Ovis aries: one gene and its partners. The protein of the gene in region 3 purifies or fractionates together with the protein of the main gene of each other region. This does not show direct contact. Links are inferred from orthologs where the notes say so. Each region holds a gene or a part of one and is shown on either strand. Other genes may lie near its edges.

The links. Proteins that work in one complex are often made in the same cells at the same time.
Region 1: the proteins of DDX39A (region 3) and API5 fractionate together in Homo sapiens (co-fractionation; 3 studies listed by BioGRID, with this or other methods). This does not show direct contact. The link is inferred for Ovis aries from reciprocal best matches to the Homo sapiens genes DDX39A and API5.
Region 2: the proteins of DDX39A (region 3) and THOC1 purify together in Homo sapiens (affinity purification with mass spectrometry; 3 studies listed by BioGRID and IntAct, with this or other methods). This does not show direct contact. The link is inferred for Ovis aries from reciprocal best matches to the Homo sapiens genes DDX39A and THOC1.

Annotation. Positions count from the first base shown.
Region 1 is NC_056068.1:72,367,397-72,373,280, reverse strand, and holds part of API5 (apoptosis inhibitor 5), read right to left. Parts: intron 5,247-5,884; coding exon 5,190-5,246; intron 4,323-5,189; exon of another isoform or gene 3,479-4,322; coding exon 3,402-3,478; exon of another isoform or gene 2,889-3,401; coding exon 2,752-2,888; exon of another isoform or gene 2,184-2,751; intron 1-2,183. UniProt on the Homo sapiens protein: Antiapoptotic factor that may have a role in protein assembly. Negatively regulates ACIN1. By binding to ACIN1, it suppresses ACIN1 cleavage from CASP3 and ACIN1-mediated DNA fragmentation. Also known to efficiently suppress E2F1-induced apoptosis.
Region 2 is NC_056076.1:35,653,695-35,659,578, reverse strand, and holds part of THOC1 (THO complex subunit 1), read left to right. Parts: intron 1-2,980; coding exon 2,981-3,099; intron 3,100-3,539; coding exon 3,540-3,588; intron 3,589-3,999; coding exon 4,000-4,095; intron 4,096-5,884. UniProt on the Homo sapiens protein: Component of the THO subcomplex of the TREX complex which is thought to couple mRNA transcription, processing and nuclear export, and which specifically associates with spliced mRNA and not with unspliced pre-mRNA.
Region 3 is NC_056058.1:9,662,278-9,668,708, forward strand, and holds the start of DDX39A (ATP-dependent RNA helicase DDX39A), read left to right. Parts: upstream 1-2,435; 5' UTR 2,436-2,544; exon of another isoform or gene 2,545-4,719; intron 4,720-6,431. UniProt on the Homo sapiens protein: Helicase that plays an essential role in mRNA export and is involved in multiple steps in RNA metabolism including alternative splicing. Regulates nuclear mRNA export to the cytoplasm through association with ECD.

The sequences.
Region 1 (5,884 bases), on a different chromosome or scaffold from region 3:
GTTAGAAAACTAACTAGACCTTTCCCCAGCTTAACCAACATTTACCTGTCAACAGAATGGAATCTGATTCAAAGTCACCTCTCACGTCATGATAAATTTTTCTAAACTGACTGGTATGCCAACTATTTAAATGAAACCAGCATGAGCTATTACATTAAAAAAATCACTTTAATGATCTTTTTAATGGTTTCAAGCTTAAACTAATACTGCTACTAGCTAAAATTATACTTAAAAAATTACTTTAATATTCAAAAAAGGTAAAAGTTGAAGGACACAAGTCACAAAATATAGAATTAGTACTTGTGGGTTACCAGGGAACTCTTGTTCTACAGGAAGGAAAGCTAAACATGGGTATGTGCAAATACTTTGATTGAAAATGCACCAGGAAGCTGGACCAAGTTATGGGAACAAACACTTTTTGATAAAGCAAATAATAGAGATGATGGTTAGTAAAGTGAAAAACCTTGATAAGGAAAAAAGTCTAACTATGCCTACATGGACTCACAGACAAATTACAAATTCTGGCTCCCTCTGTGCATAAAACTAGTTTAGGCCCAAGTCACTGGCACAATCTATTTTCTTTGCAGCAGACTTGGTCACTGTAGTAAGACAGTGATATGATAAAATTGAGTTTGGCTGACATAGAAAGTAGAATTTCAATGATTAAATATGGGTAATAAAGTCTAAGTATTAAAGACTAAACACAAAACATTTTTCTCCCTCTGTCTTGAGGCAACACTGACACCCCAGGAAAAAAAATCCAACACTGTTTCTCTTTCCTCCTGACCCACTGTCAGTTCCCTAAGGAAAGGACATTAAAAGGTAGAAAAATTTGAGGTAGATAGGTCAACTAATTTTCATCTGTAATACTGAGAACTGTTTTCAGCTGAATGGGTGAAAGAAATCCAAGAAAACTCTTCAAATTGTTTCTATGAGAATACTTATAACCTGATACATCTCAACTCCCCCAAATAAAAATACTAGTAGAAATTTTGTTCCTACTTTCCAAAAAGAACAATCAGAGTCTAGTTTGCTTTGTAACTCAATTTATGACAAGCACTCCAATTACAAGGTTGCTCCTGTAGGACTACTGAAGTACAGGAACACCAGACACAAAAGGCAGTTATCAGGCGTGTTTGTCGTTCTGTTACTTTGCTGACTAAGGAACAACTGAAGCTGTAAGGGACTCCTGGATTTCTCCCTTAGCCTTGCCGTGTGGCTTATGGGATCTTAGTTCCCTGACCAGGGATTGAACCCCAGGCCCTCAGGGTGAGGTCGAAATTCTAACCACAGGATGGCCAGGAAATTCCCTGATTTTTGTCTTCGGTAAAACTGCTTCCCCCCTCTGTATTGATAATTTAAAAAATCACACACAACCTAAGGCTTTGCATTTTTCACATCTGTTTTCCACATGCATTACATCATCTGATTCTAAGGCAGGCAATGAATGTCACAGGGCAGAATACTCATGGAAATTCAGAGTAATTGACTTGCCTAAGTGAAAATAAATATAATTCTCTATGTATTTCCATAGTTGACTACATTCATCTAAATCAAATGAAGATGGTATCTGAGAGAACAGCTGATGTATGTTAAAGGTTTTGATAAGTACCACATTAGATCATACAAGTGACAGAGGACAGACAATATTTAGTGAATGGAGTAACAGAATCTTTTCCATTTACAAAATGCTATCATAAATATTTTTTGAAGTTTTTAAGTTCTCTGCTATCCCTATTTTTCAGATAAAACAAGAAGCCAAGAGAGGCATGTTTACCTATTATTATATAAGTAAAAGAGTTCAGTGATCTTTTCTACACTAAAGTTGCCTCAAGGAGTCTGACTGGAGTTTAAGGGTTCATTTCACAATCTGAAATTGCCTTTTCATAATCTTTTTGCTTGGATATTGGAGGAATTTTGCTATTATAGAAGGCATTTACTTAATGTCAAATCATCTCATCCTGGAAACAATTATAGGGAGTATATGCTTCAGAATGTACTTTTTTGGGGGAATAATTACTGTAGAATTAATTCTGATTGGTAATCAAGACCAATCACAAGTATGTTTGGTTCTAGATATTAAACTTTGTCTTCTTCAGCAAGATTAGGGATCTGAGTCAGTGATATTTATGTCCATTCTTCTTTATAAGCCAATGAGACAAACTTCACTTCTGATTCAACAGGCCTGAGCGAGACTGGACTAGTGGAAGTCGACAAGAGGACTGCACTGGGCATGGAGGAGAATGCAAGAGGACGCATCTTTGCCAGCCGGTGCTTTCCCGCCTGCCTCTGCCTTCCAGGCTTCTCCTCCTGAAGGAGCACAGACAACCGGAGGACAAGCAGGAGGCTGACGAGGCCCAAGAAGGATCGTTAATACCACATCTGCCAGAGGCTGTATCTGTTCCTGAGGGAGAATGGACAACCCTTCTTGCTTTGAAGCTAAAACAGGGACAATCAGGAATGGATGGTTCATGTCATCTTCCTTCCTTTTTTTTTTTCTGTTGGCATCTCTGAATACAACAGGCTTATTTTTCAGGTTCTTAGTGTTACATGCTCAGGTCAGTGAACCCACAAGGGTGACTTAGAAAGGAATAGGATAAGTTGTTTTCCCAGCAGTTCAAGTTCCCCACGCTAACGCAAAAAAAGTAACCTGAAAGAGCTATGATACTCTTCAATTATTATTTAAAATCAAGTATAACACAGTTTCTGCCTAATCTCTCATATTTCTTGTACCCAAACGGAAACGCTCACCATAATTAAAGTTGCTCAAATTGCTGCTATATTTCCCACTAGGAGGATTATAAATCTGCCTGGCATCCCTTTTTGGTCCTGCTGAAGATTTCTTGGGAGGTGAACCTGAAGTTGTATCTTCACTGGCTCTCTTTTGCCTATAACGGTAGGAAGAGCAGCAATGAAAAAAAATTCTTTTATATCAGAGGCTAGCAATAAATTTATCATATTAGTCACAAAAGACACCCTAAAGATGATAATCACATCAGAAAAAAGGAAATAACATCTGATGTCATCAAATTAACTCTGCTTCGGTTATGCAGACATTGTCACAAGGGCATTTACAAGGCTCTAAAACAATGTGAACTATGTAGCTTCATAGATTATACACAAGTGACTCATTTCATAGAACTTACCAAAAAAGTCTTATGCCACAGCAATACAAACAATGGTTTGAAAATTCCAGAGTTGTATTCCACCAGTTTATTTTATAAACACTAGATTAGATTTTCTATGTAAGTCATGCTTCTAATAGCTATATTTTAACATCTTATTAAGACTCATTTAATAATGTACCATTTTGTACAGGAAATGCAATAATCTGAATTCAGACTTTTCATATTTATAAATCAAATTAGAACACTTTAATCCCTTTTAAATATGTTTCTTACCCAAGTTCAACCTTCTGTACAGGCTTCCAGGATAATGTTACTGTGCTCTTATAAGAAGGAGGAATATGGAAGAGATCCTGAAGAAACAAAATGAAGAGATTTCTGAAGTATTTGGTGGTGTGGCAAGTGGCAGTAAAGATAGGAAATGGGAAGACACATCTTTAATCTTAGAAGGAGAGTAACTTATCCACTTGCTTTTGTGCTAGTGACTAAAACAAGAACCTAGGGAAAACTGCATGAGAAAGTAAACAAGGACAATTTGGTTTGCAAATGACATACATTACCTAATTAATGTTATTTTGTGCATATCACTTAAGAAAGTGCAGCTAACTTTTTTCAAATGTCGTTTCAGGTTACAGGACAAAATATCAATTTTTATCAACTTCAATAAAATCATCAAGTGGTTTCTTTTGCACAGATGCAGTCACTAAGGTGCTTTAAGGAAAATATAATGGTGCAATCTGCATTTGCTATTGCAGATTTTTAAGTGGTTCAATACTAGAACAAAACCAATGGTCTGGGTAATCATGTTTTTCTTCCCCTCAAATATCTATATATTACCAATAATGAAAAATTCCACATTATTTAAATACTAAATTATCAATATATGGCAATGCAAATATTTGCTAAATTTAAATACTGAAATAATTCAGAAGTGAAGTAATCTAGTCCTCATTATACCCTCAAAACTATGATGAATTTATATTTATCGTTTTACCCTAATTTTTATATATAGGTAAAATCTGATAAAAGTAAACTGAGTTTCTTTCACAGTATTTGCTTATTCTAAACATTATCTTCAACTTTGATTTATGGTATCAGTTCAAATAAAGTAAAATCTCACATTTTAATGTATTAATTCACCATTTCAAACTATGATTTATATTTAAGATTTGAAATAAATGGAGCCTATTATAAAAATTTTCTTTGAGGTGTGAGTCAGTTTTCTTCCCTCTTAATGCCCTTTCCCTTTTCCTCTTGGCACTGATAATTCATCCCTTAATGTCTCACTGCTTTCTCTGAAAAGTTCCCTTTCTCTTCTGATAAAAAGTAAGTATTCCATGGGATTTTTACCAGACTACTTTTAAGACATACCACTAGCCCTGATTTTGTTCCTGTCAGGCTTTGTGCTGTGTGACAAATATTTCTTTCTCCCACCTGGCTACAATACTGTTAACTGTGACAATACCGTTAACTTATGATATCAAATGATGGGCTCTTTGTTGTGATTGCTCTTTTGTTCTTTCAGGTTATTAGTTTTTGTTTAGGCTAACAGATACTTGAGGAGGATAAATGGAACTGAACCGTATTTATGGTTTAATGGTAAGGTACACCTTAGCCTACAGTATAGAACACTCTCAATTTATTACATAGAGAAATTAACAGAAAAGAGCATAGGACATGTCATGCACCACATAAGACTGTCCATTCTTAGTAAAAGTGAAGCAGGGTTTTATTGGTCATTCAAAAGGAACCAATAGCGTTAAAACTACAAGAGCTTAAGTCAGTGAAATTTCTGAGTCTAATGTATCTGCTCCAACGCTGTTTGTCAGAACTGTGCATGCCTCCCTTTGTTTACAGTATCTTCTGCAATAACATTTAAATAAATAAAACAATGAATTATAATAGCTACAAAAGTGTTACCTGGTATTATAAAAAGCATAAAGCTTTAAAAGGCCAAATGTATGCAATGTAATGGCATTTCTCCTTCACTAGACCATTACGGACATATCCCTTGCACTAACTTTCTAGCTAGTTGGGATGGCTGAGTAAGAAAGGAAGACTTACCTTGATTAAAACATTAATATTATTTGTTATTTTCAATGCAACGACTTTAATCTTGTTCTGTAAAAGGAAAACAACATTAAATTAAAATGCCAGTAACTTTTATGATATATTACTTTCCCATATAAAACTTGAACTCCACTTCTTTTTCAGAATCATTTCTACAGTTAGGAAATTAATTGGCTTATATCTACAGATAATGCTTATTCCTATTTCTCGACAATTAACAAATGTGGCGATGGCAAAGACAGCAAATAATCTTTTATCTTCCCTCAACAGGTTAGAACATTAAACTGTTAACAGTTTACCTGAAAACCAAGTAAGCGACAGGTCATTGGCATGTATCAGTTGTTCAAAAGAAACTAGAATACGTTACAGAAAGGCACAAGGAAACTTAAAATATTTCATTAGGACTAGGATGAAGTAGGATGAAGACTGATCAAAATAGATGCGATCAGGGAAAACCAAAGATCCCAACGTAAACACAAGATATAGTTTGGTACAGAATTAGTAGTTTAATACTTTTAATTTTAATGTAAACTAATGTTTGGGTTTCAAAAAGGTAAAATTTTAAAGTGTCACAATCACTAATCAAATATTTAAACAAAATGTGCTGCTAATGAGACCCCAGTGAAAGATCAGTATGTATCAAAGTGTGGTAACAAACACTGTTCACAAACGTTGGAAACATTCAAGAC
Region 2 (5,884 bases), on a different chromosome or scaffold from region 3:
GTATTGTTAAAATATTCCTTTGATTTAGTCATATAATTTATGTGAGAAGTGCCTTTTAATCTGTAAAGCACTATTCACATATATTATTTTGATACTTATTCCTACCAAAAAACTGAAACACACAAGGTAAAAGTGATCTTCCAGTGTAGCTGCAAGCAATTTTGTGAACTTAAGTAGTTCATAAATTTTGGCTTTAGGGGTTAAACTTGTATGAAATGCTTATTCATCATTCATTTATTAAGCATATTCAAACGAGTACTGCAATGGAGTGTTCCTTGCCAGTTCCTGTCAAACAGTTTGCAACATTTACTTCATTGATTATCCTGATATGATTACTCTTGTAAACTGGTAATGTTTTTAATGCTTCAGTCAGTTCAGTCCAGTCACTCAGTGTCCTACTCTTTGCGACCCTATGGACTGCAGCACGCCAGGCCTCCCTGTCCATTGCCAACTCCTGGAGCTTGCGCAAACTCATGTCCATCGAGTCGGTGATGCCATCCTACCATCTCATCCTCTGGTATCCCGTTCTCCTTCTGCCCTCAATCTTGCCCACCATCAGGGTCTTTTCCAATGGCTCAGTTCTTCACATGAGGTGGCCAAAGTACTGGAGCTTCAGCTTCAGCATCAGTCCTTCCAGTGAATGTTCAGGACTGATTTCCTTTAGGATGGACTGGTTGGATCTCCTTACAGTCCAACGGACTCTCAAGAGTCTTCTCCAACACCACAGTTCAAAAGCATCAGTTCTTCAGTGCTCAGCTTTCTTTATGGACTCTCACATCCATACATGACTACTGAAAAAACCATAGCTTTGACTAGACAGACGTTTGTTGGCAAATGCTTGAAGTTATACAAAGTCTGTGTTTAAAACTTTTACTTTATTTGGGAAAGATATGGACTTAACTCAGTTAAGCCATGAATAAAAATTTAAATACCTTTTTATTTTAATTTGATGGGAAAAATTTCTTCTTGAAACCAATATTATTGTTTATTATGTGACAGATTTTCTAATTGTCCATAAACATGCTTTGTTAAACTCAACTTGGCAGATACTTATTGAGCTTCTGTTGTGTCAGACTCTCCACTGGTGAAAACCTTCAAAAATGCCTACCTTTAAAAAGCTCATAGTCTACATAATAATAATAAACAGTTTGGATATGATAAGTACTATAATTTATGTGCAGTGGCTTTCAGAAGCAGAGATGTGGTAGTCTACACAGAAGTACCAGAAGAGTATTTTAGATGCAGTATGTACTATATGCTTTGAAAGACTGAGTAGGAATTTACCATGTGATAGAGAGGAAGAAGCCTATTTAGGCAGAAAACATCGTAAACAAAACCATGCAGGCTTGAACGTAGCAAGGTGTTTGGGAACTCAGGAGGGGTATCTGTGGCCAAGGTTAAGATGAAGCTCAGAGGGCAGCATAGAGGCTGGGACACGGGTTGTGATAGTTTTGGGGAATCGTGTGATAACCCAGCTCATCAGAATCACCAGTGAAGCTCCATTTTCAAATTAATTGCCAGGCTTTCACTCAGTTTTACTGAATCTTTGAGAGTGGAATCTAGGTAATTTTCTTAAGTTCTGTAATTAAATGTGTGTGATTTTGCCAAATTATACTTCAGCTAAGGGCAGGGAGTATGTCTCTCTAATCTCTTGGATAAACAGGACACAAAGTATCACAAATCTAAGTGTTGAAGGACTTTGGAGGTCATCTGGTTCAGTCTTGTCTCTGGCCTGTCCTGTCTCCCCTCAGTAACTGAAGCTCACCGTTTGATTTCTCTTAGCTGGTTCTGATGATCAGATTTCCTTTGCATTGAGTTGAACTTTGCTGCTTTATGTCTCACTAGTTCTAGGCAGTATCCCTCATATTACATTCCAGCTGTGATCTTTCCAGTGCAGTGCAGAGCTGGAAATACTACTTCCTGTTTATGAACTACTGTGTTAATGCAGTATTAGGGGCTAATAATGCCCCTAGATACTTTTTTTACATATCATGCTGAAGTGGCTACTTTTCCTAAACTCGTAACAGGTATTAGTATCTATTACCGAAAAATAGAAGGAAGAATGAGTAGGGAAATAAAAGCATTTTTAACTAGCCTAGATGACCTTAAAGTCTTTAGTTTATTGCTTTAGTAAGATTGAATTTAGACATAGCTTTCTATTTTACCAATTTTTTCTTTGAAACAACAGTATATTTTAAAAGTATAGTAAGAACTGAAATTAGTATCAAACTTTTTTGTGATCTTTTTTGAACTAGATCTTTTCAAATGACAAAGACAATTTAAATTTAGCATTATTACAGAACATTTGGAAATGGGAAAATACTAGTTCCAGTTCTGCTACTTCAAAAAACTACTATTTATTTTGGTATATGATTTTAGCTTCTCTAGGCTTTTTAATAGATTTTATTGTTATAACCATAATACCCATACAGTTTTGAACCCTGCCTTTTTCACTTGACATTAAATCATAAGCATTTTCCAAGTTATTATAGTCAATCATAACCGTCATTTTTAATTGGCTGCATTATATTCTTTCGAATAGCTTAGTGGTGAAGAAAACAGACTGTGAAGCCAGACTGCCTGGGTTCATATCCCAGCTCTACTGCTTACTGGCTCTGTGATCTTGGGCAACTCATTTAACTTCTCTGTGTCTCAGTTTTCCCATTCTGTAAACTGGAGAGAATATTCTCTCCCTCATAGGGTTATGAGGATTACGTGTGTTAGTGTATGTGAAGCACTTGGTGTGCCTGACATATACTAAATGCTCTAGAAGGGTTATCAAGGATGACACATACCGAAACTTAAATACACTTAAGTATATCTTCCTTGGGGACTTTTAGGTTGCTTCTGTTTCTTGCTTTTCACAGCCTTGTTAGGATGGACAAAGTGTACCTTTAAGATTATCTTCAGAATTTTTTGCATGAGCTCTTTTACTCAGCCGTATTGTAAACTTTTAAATTGGCTTGTGCTCCACTTGAAGGTATTTGTACGGCATCTACACCTTTTGTATTGTTGGGAGATGTTTTGGACTGTCTTCCTTTGGATCAGTGTGACACAATATTCACTTTTGTGGAAAGAAATGTTGCTACCTGGAAATCAGTAAGTGCCTTAGTTTCTTTTTCTGCTGTCTTTAGCTTTCTATAGATCCAGAGTTCTGAGGGTAGTTTGTTTTGTTTGTGGCTTTTATTTCTGACTTTGCTGATTGCTAAAAAGTTTACCTTTATGAGAGTTATGTGTTCTGCTTTCTTGGAAAAGCCAAGTAAGAGTCACATGGAGATAAAAATGACAGTACAAAATTTGAGTAGAAACAGTTACCTGGAAAACACACACTTTTACATGTTTTAAAAGTTACTTAGAATCGTCTTTGTTATATGTTTGAAAATATTTCATTAAAAATGTTATTTGCTTGGAAGAATTGAAAGCGGCATAGTAGATTCAGCACATATTAGTGTTCTTTAAAATCTTACTTCCTGTGACTTACTATTGAAGAATGTGCAACAACTTCAGAACAATAATAGTAATTTCTGTCTTAATTTCAGAATACATTCTATTCTGCTGGGAAAAATTATTTACTACGTATGTGCAATGGTAAGTAACTGAGCAGTAAATGATTGGTTTTTAAGAAGGAAATATGGTCAGGAAACCAGGTGGTTGCATTAAACACAAGAGATTAAATTTTTTTTAAGTAGATTGTATCTTCATTTTAAAATAGCAATCTGATTTATTAAAACTGATCATTTGCTTTAAATTTATCTATTCCTGTTCTAGGTATAAACTTAATAAAAACCAAAAAGTTGAGTTAAGTTTATCTTGTCCATGTTAAACTCATTTTATTTTTAATTTTCTAGTCCTTTTTTTGTGACAAAAAATAGTTTCTACCCCCATTTTGAGAACTACTGCTTTAGGAAAATACTTTTGAACTGGTTAAGACACTTGGGTATATTGTAATAAATATAGAATGATCTCTGCTGTGTAACCTTTGTTTCCATTTGTTGTTAGATCTCCTACGAAGATTATCAAAATCCCAGAATACAGTCTTCTGTGGACGAATTCAACTCTTTTTGGCCAGGCTTTTCCCTTTATCTGAGAAATCAGGTGAGCTTTTGTAAATAAATTGCTTTGCAGGAAAATTTTTACCTGTTTTTCATGGACTAGAATATACCATGATGATTTAAAAAAAAAAAAAGGTTCTAAAAAGTTGAGAGATAGCATAGGAAATTGTCACTTGATTTTCGTTTACTTGTAAATAGTTGTACCTATTCCAGTGCATAATACAGGTAACACTCAAATAAAGCCATTGATTCTTCAAGTTCAAAGCTTATTAATAATAATGTACAGTTGAATCACACTGAAATATGTAGACATGAATCATGTTTTTATTTTTTGCTTCCGTTTTCTTCTTCAGTCACTGTTTAGCCACAGTTACTTTTGTTCATTTATCATTGTGAAATATAACAGTAATATGAAAAGTGCATGAAGTAAGTGTATAGTATAATAATTATAAAGCATATAGTTGCATTACCACTGGTCAGGTCCAAAAGTGAAGCATGACAGTTCTCTCGAGCCCTCCACAGTCTGTTCGGATATGCCAGATTTTAACTGTCTATTCGCCTCAGTCACCCCTTCCTTAATATCAGGCTAATCTACCACCTGCTTCCCATGTTGTAAGGATTAAATGAGTTAAAACATGTGACGAGCTTACAGCAGTGCCTGCTTGTGGTAAGACCTATAGTTTGTGTTAGCAGTGGCAAAATTACCTGTGACTTTCTTTTTGTCCTGCTGTGTCTCTGCTTTTTTTCTTTCCTCTTATTTAAATGTGGTCAGGATTAATTTCAATTTACCAGTGTATTCACAACTTGTATTTCTGATCCTCTGTCTGTGACTATTTTCCCCTTTAGACTTTTCTTTAGTGCAAATTTTGTTCTGTCTGAAAATCTTTTTCTTTACGAAGAATGGTTGAAGATTAGATAGAATGGTTGAAGTAGGTTGGCACTGGATATAGGATTTCATTTAGTGGAAGGTCATCATTTCTTTGCCTTTGTCTTCTAGAGAGGAGTCAGATCTCAGTCTAACTCCTTTGAAGATAATCTAGTTTTGTTTTTTTCTCTGTTTGCTCTTGAAGTTTTCTTTTGCTTTGAGTTTTTGTTTGTTCTTTTGTTTGTGGGGTTTTTGGTTTTTCAGTTTTCTATAATGTATCCAAGCATGGATTTTTAAAATTTATCATTCTTCAGATTTGTGGGCATCTTGAGTTTGTGCATTGGTTGTCCTTCATCCACTTTGTAAAAATTTAAGCTGATGTTTCTTCAGATATTGTGTATGCTGCTTTCTCTTTATGGAACTCTAGTTAACATTCTATACCTTGTCTGTCTCTTACACTTTCTGCATTTTTCATCTGTCTCTCTTTCCATCACATTCTTTTCTTTTTTTTTTTTTAATTTTATTTTTTTATTTGGCTGCTCTGGGTCATAGTTGTAGCATGTGGGATCTAGCTCCCTGACCAGGGATCGAACCTGGGCCCCCTGCACTGGGAGCTCAGAGTCTTAGCCACTGGACCACCAGGGAAGTCCCATTTCCATCACATTCTGCGTGATTTCTTTGGAAATGTTTTCTAGTTTACTACTCTGTTCATCTATGAATAATCTGCTGCAAAATGAGTTCTTAATTTCCGTAATTGTATATTTCATTTCTAAAAAGTCTTTTTTTAAGTCTGTGTGTCACTTTTTAGTTTCTTATTCCCTGTTTTCAAGCTTGTTTTTTAGTTGTCTAACCAGGGTAGGCACTGTTACCTTTATCTATATGTCTGATAATGCCAGTGTCTTAAGTCCTTGCGGCTGTTCGTCACTCACACTTGTGCCTGTTTCTCACTCATGATGTCTTATCTCTT
Region 3 (6,431 bases):
CCTTTCATTGCAGGAGACACAGGTTCAATCCCTAATCTGCGAAGATCCCACATACCTCAGAGCAACTAAGCCTGAGTGCCGTGACTACTGAGCCTGTGCTCTGGAGCCCCAGAGCCACAACTACTGAGCCCACATGCTGCAACTACTGAAGCCCGCAAGCCCTAGAGACTGTGCTCCGCAGCAAGAGGAGCCAATGAAACGAGAAGCCCTCTCATCGCTACCAGAGAGCAGTCCCTGCTTGCCACAACTACGTTGCCCAGACAGCAACGTAGACCCTGCACAGTCAATAATAAATAAATCAATAAAATTGTAATTATTATTATTTTTTAAAGACAGGATCAGTAGTTCTGAACGTTTCCTTTTGCCTCAGGTGCCAATATGGCTTGACGTAGCACTGTTACTGGCCCCGTCTTTACTTAAAATTTTGATATTTTGCTCATCAGATATTTTAGAGAGATTTTAAGCATTAATTTCAATTTTAAAATACTGCATTCAAATATTATTTATCTTGATGACTCAGTTTTTTAAGATTAAAAAAATTATTTTTTTATTTTTGGCTCTGCTGGGTCTTTGTTGCTATGAGTGGGCTCTCTCTAGTTGCGGAGAGCAGGGGCTACTCTCCGCTGTGCGTGTTTCTCGTTGCAGTGGCTTCTCTTGTTGTGGAGCACGGGCTCCAGGTGCACGGGGTTCAGTAGTTGCAGCACTCAGCCTCGGTAGTTGTGGCTCTCAGGCTTAGTTGCTGCACTGCATGTGGGATCTTCTCGGACCAGGGATGGAACCCACGTCCCCTACATTGCAAGGCAGATTCTTAACTACTGAACTACCAGAGAAGTCTCATGAGTTTTTTGCTTTGGTGTTTGGTACCCCCCTTTAGGTTTGCATGCCTCACCCTCATTCTGGCCCCACTTCCCCACTTCCGGATATAGAGGAAGTGCTCTATAAGTGTTCTGATGTAATTATTACATACAATATCTACCTTATGTCATGTAAAGCCTCCCTCTGGATTGACTGGTTTCTCTTCATTGGGCTTTTTGACTGAAGTTATACCTGTGATGACTTTAGCTCTGAATTTGTCTCAGACACGGACCCTGCGATAGCTTTATACTAAATGAAAACAGAAATGCCTGAACCTCTTTGGAAAACTGTGGACAAAGATTTAATTGTGTCAAGGGTTTAGGGAGACTGGAAAGCTGGAGCAGGCTTATGGAGTTTGCCCTACTTACTTTCCTTCCTCCTTCCCACCCCCCAAATCTCCTATAGCTGAGAAAAGACTGACACTACCAGGTATGGCAAGAATTAAGAATCACTGGAACTTTCACAGGGTGCTAGTGAGAATGTAAAGTGGAAAAACCACTTAGAAAACTGTCAGGATCTACTAAAGCTAAACACTCACATGACCTTCCACTCACCATTTCACTCCCAGCTATTTGCCCTAGAGAGGTAAATTCGTTTTCACAAAAATGTTTGTATATGATTTATTAGTAACGGCCAAACACTGGAGAAAAAATGTCTATAAGTGAATGGAGAAACTACATTGGCTATATTGTGGAATAGCCACACAGTGGAATACCGCTGGTGCTGCTAAGTCGCTTCAGTCCTGTCCTACTCTGTGCGACCCCATAGACGGCAGCCTACCAGGCTCCTCCGTCCATGGGATTTTCCAGGCAACAGTACTGGAGTGGGGTGGCATCGCCTTCTCCGAGTGGAATACTACTCAGGAGTAAAAAAGAAGGAATATTGCTATGTATAGCAATGTGGAAAATCTCCAAACATTTTGTTGAGCAGAAGCCAGACACAAAAGACAATCTTCTGCATGATTCTGTTTGTATGAAATTCAAGAACAGACAAGATTATAGTGATAGAAATAAACATAGTGGTTGCCTGGTTGGGGCAGGAGGGAGGAAAGGGGTGTGGCTGACTTGAGAGGAACACAACAGAACTTTCTGTGGTGACGGAAATGTTCTATAACTGCACTGGGCAATTGTCACTCGGGTATCAATCATCAGAACTCATGGGAACGCTCAACTCAGGGCAGGATAAAAAGGCTGGTATCATTCCAAGCTCCCTAGCCTTCTCAGAACCCTTTCAGAACCTCTACACTGCAGGACCACTTCAAAAATTTCTTTCCTCAGCGTAGAGACCATATTTCCTAAGGGCGAGACACTCACCCTGGGCTCACATCACGGCTTCGGTTGCCCGTACTAAATATGGTGGCACACGAGCCGGTTACAACCTCGACCACGTGACGGTACGCTCGCAGACGCCCGCTTCGGTCAGCCCACTCCGGCGCCTACTTTTTGATTGACCAATGAATCGGAGGTATGAGGCACGCCCTTTTCCCCCCTCGACCAATAGCCTCCAGACGCCTTCCGCAGAATCCAATCATCGCTTCCGCCTCTCTTGAATGAAAAGCGAGCGGTCCAGTGAGCTGAGCCGCAGTCGGACCCAGGAGGCAGGAAGCGCAACAGCGCGTGTCGGGGCGCGAGAACGGTAACCGGAGCCGGGTGCTCTCTTCGCAGCACGGGGAAGCGAACGAGGAATCAGGTGAGCGGCTGGCCCAGGCGCGGGGCCGCGGTGCGGAGACGTCGGATCGGCGGGCGAGCGGGAGATAGGAGACGCCAGGAGTTGAGGGAAGGAGACCGGGCGCGAGACAAGGGGAGGCGGGGCGGTTGGGGTGGCCGGAGCGCGCGTTGGCGGCCGTTGGGCGTTAGGGCGCATGCGCGAGGGGCAGACCGGCCGTTGGCGCGCGGGTACGGGTCCGCTTCCGGGAGGGGCTGTCATGGCCGCCTGCAGGCTAAACCCCACCTTGGGGCAGAGTCTGCCTGTTCTTGGAAGCCCGAGACGGTTTGGGGAGGGGTCAGGAGGCGACGCGGGGGTCTGGGGCCGCGGAGCGCGAAGCCGGAGCTGGTAGACGTGGCGATCTTCAAGATCGAAAGACTCTTCCTCCGTTCTTGCTTTGTGTTTCGGGGGAGTGGATTCGTGGTTCCAGAGATGTAGGGCAAAAAGTGATGTTCCAGTAAGGAACAAAGTCTTAAATGAAAATTCTCTTGGGGGGCACTTCAGGGTGACAAGGGTACGCGAAAGGCTCTGAGTTGTTACTTAGTCGTCTGTCAGCTTTCAAGTTGATCAGCTCTTGGGGCCTCTGCCACCTTTTCTGGGTGGAGCAAACAGCGCCAAATCCTGTCCTGATCTAATTTGTTTTGATTTTTAGGTTCTGTCTAGCCAGTCCCTAGAAATTTTTGTGTGTCAAGCTTAGTCTGTCATTAAATTTGTCTCCCCATTAAAACAAAAAGAGTTTCTTCGAACTCTTCTCTTATTTTTTGGAATGCTCATCTCTTTCCGGATTTTAAGCCCAGAGTAGACGACGCTGCGTCTTTAATGTCGAAGGCTCCCCCAGGGTTTGGTCTTTCCCTGTAGGGTGATCCAACCTCTTTTCCCTCTCTAACAATGCTCCCACCGTGGTTAACCCTCTTTGATTTGGTGTCTGGTTTTCCCTGCTGCTGGTCCCTTAACTTATTCCATCTTCTCTGGAGTAACTTGGTCTTGAGCAAATCCTGATTGAGTCACAACTGAAAACCTAATCAGCGATTTCTTATTGTTCAGCGAATTAAGTATGAATGCTCTGGGCCTAACCAGCTTGGTTTTCTGCCTCTTGCTTCAAGCAGCCAGTTCTTTCCAACCCCTGAAAGGGTTTAGACTAGTGGTTTCTGGACCGCCGTTTGCTGGTGCCTTTTCTTCTCTTTGATGCTTGAAGTGAGCGTTCCTGTTTTCACCAGTAGGAATCCTCAGTACTTGTATCGGATTGCCTCTTTCAAGAATCCCATAAGGATACTTGCTTAGCCCCTAAACTCTGCCTTGAGGCCCCGATTCTGATTCCATTCATTCAGCCATTTGCTCTTGAGTGCTTGCTTGTTATGTACTAGGTGCTGTTCTGGGTGCTGGGCTGGCGTGACTGGAGGGGGTGTTTTTTAAGTTGGACCCAACTTTGGAATATGCCATTTTGGAACAACAGAACAGCTTCCCTGATGTTCAGTGGGTAAAGAATCTGCCTGCATTGCAGGAGACATAGAGATGGGGGCTTGATCCATGGGTCAGGAACATCCCCTGGAGGAGAAAATGGCAACCCACTCCAGTATTTTTGCCTGAAAAATCCTAAGAACAGAGGAGCCTGGTGGGCCACAGTCCATGGTGTCAATAAGAGTTGGAGACGACAGAGTGACTAAACACAATGGAAAACGCCTTTTTGAAACAACAGAGGTCTGAAAAAAGTGGGAAAAGCAAGTTGAAAGGTGCTGAGGCATGTTTGAGGCTCAGAAGCAAGGCCTGTGTGTAAGGGTGACGGGGGTGACAAACTGAGTATAGAGGGGGTCAGGTTGTGCTGGGCTTGATAGGCTGTGGTGAAGACTCTGTTGTACTCTGAACACAGTGGGATCCTGTGGAGGGCGTTGAGCAGAGGAGCGGCTTTCTCTGACTTAGCTTTTTTAGGCTCCCTCCAGCAGCTGAGGGGCATTGAGGGGGGAGTGGGAGATGGAAAGCAAGGAGCCCAACAAGGTGGCTTTTGGCATAATCCAGGCAAGAGGTGACAGTGCCTAAGTGGCTATCAGCTGACAATGGCTAAAACGAACTGAAGTATTCCAGTAAAAAGGAATATTCATCAGCCACAAAAAGGAATGGTGTACTGATACATGGCCACACTGTAGAGGAACCTTGAAAAATTATGTGAGTAACAGAAGTCAGACTGTCACATGTTGTATGATTCCATTATATGAAATGTTCCAGGTAGGCAGATTCACAAAAAAGATTAGTGGTTGCCAAAGTAAGTTGGGGGGGCACAGGATGGTAGCCTAAGGATTCAGTCTTACTGACATGAGGAAATGTATGCTAAAGATGACTGTGCAGCAGTTGAAAGTATTTACGACTGCACAAGAAACCAATAAAATGTGCCTTTTCAACAGTGCCTTGTATGGCATGTGAATGTCTCCATAAAGCTGCTCTATAAAAAGAAAGGTGATGGTGGCCTGAGAGCCAGTGACGTAGCAGGGGTGAGAAGTGGCCTGATTGACCTGCTTGGCTTTATTGGCTGTGGGACAGGAAAAGAGAAAAGAGAACAGTTCAGAGAACGGAGTTGCCTTTTCTCAGATGCGGGTTGAGGGGAGAGGTTGTCCATAGAAAGGCCGCAAGGAGGTAGTTAAGGCCCTGGGGCTGCATACTCACAGAGGATGAGTGGCAAAAGGGCCACAAATTGGGCCTGGGACCATCAAGATCCATCTCAGGAAGAGGGACTCTTTTTAGCACTTCCACCCCTTCACTGGGCTTCCCTGAGGGCTGAATGGTAAAGAACCCACCTCCCAATGCGGGAGATGTGGGTTCAGTCCCCGGGTCGGGAAGATCCCCTGGAGGAGGGCATGGCAACCCACTCTAGTATTCTTGCCTGGAAAATCCCATGGACAGAGAAACCTGGCCAGCTAGAGTTCATGTGGTTACAAAGAGAAACGACTTAGCAACTAAATGACAGCAACAACCACCCCCTTGACTGGAGGCTGGGGTGCAACAGGGAGGACAAAAGTATCCTCATGTTTGGGACCCTTGTAGCCTGCACCCACTAGGTGCTCTGTGTGTCTGAATTAAATGAAGCCAGGAAGTGATCGCACTTTGTATTAATTCTTTTTACCATCTTGGCTGTATTCTTACTGGCTCCAGGCCCAATGGGAGGTCTTTTCATGAGAGCACTTAATTATTCCCTTGTGCAAACCACAAATAGCAGGAGCAGCTGGGGCTGGGTAGACACTGGCGAGCTCACAAGCTCCCATCTCTCCAGCATCCTGGCAGTTGCATCTCCAGGCTCAGGGTGGGGTCCTTGGGGAGTGAAGGGGGAGGGGAGTCCTTGAGACTAGGTGGTCTGAGGCTATTCAGTAGAGCTGAGACCTTGAAGCTGAGAAGGAGGCATTTATTTGTTCAGAGACCAGAAGTAATGCAGCAGAGTCATGCCTGTGGGGCTGGGTGACCTGAGTGGGGGTTAGAGGCTCAGTGAGTATCAGCAGCCAAATGAGGCTGGGGTGGCATGGAATGGGGTGGGCAGGGGCCAGTGAGGGAGGTTGCAAGTGGAAAGGAATTGGGGTTTCACTTGATACACCTGTGGTTGTGTCCTGAAGGGTCCCAGGGAGAGGTGAGGCAGCTCAGTGGAGGGTGGTGGAGAGGTGGGCACAACAGTTGGAAGCTGGGAAGTGCCACATAGCTGGAGTAGTGGGACCTGCTGTTGGAGTCAGTGGCGGAGGTGAGTTAGAGAGAGATGGGAGAATGAGGTCCAGTCTTGGCTTCAGTGGCCAGGCGGCCAGACCTGACCCCAGGACCTCACCCGCCTCAGACTTGTGTCAGCAGCTCGCAGCTTCTGTGCAGCCGGCTCCCTCTTCCCCCTCACTCTGGGAATTTTC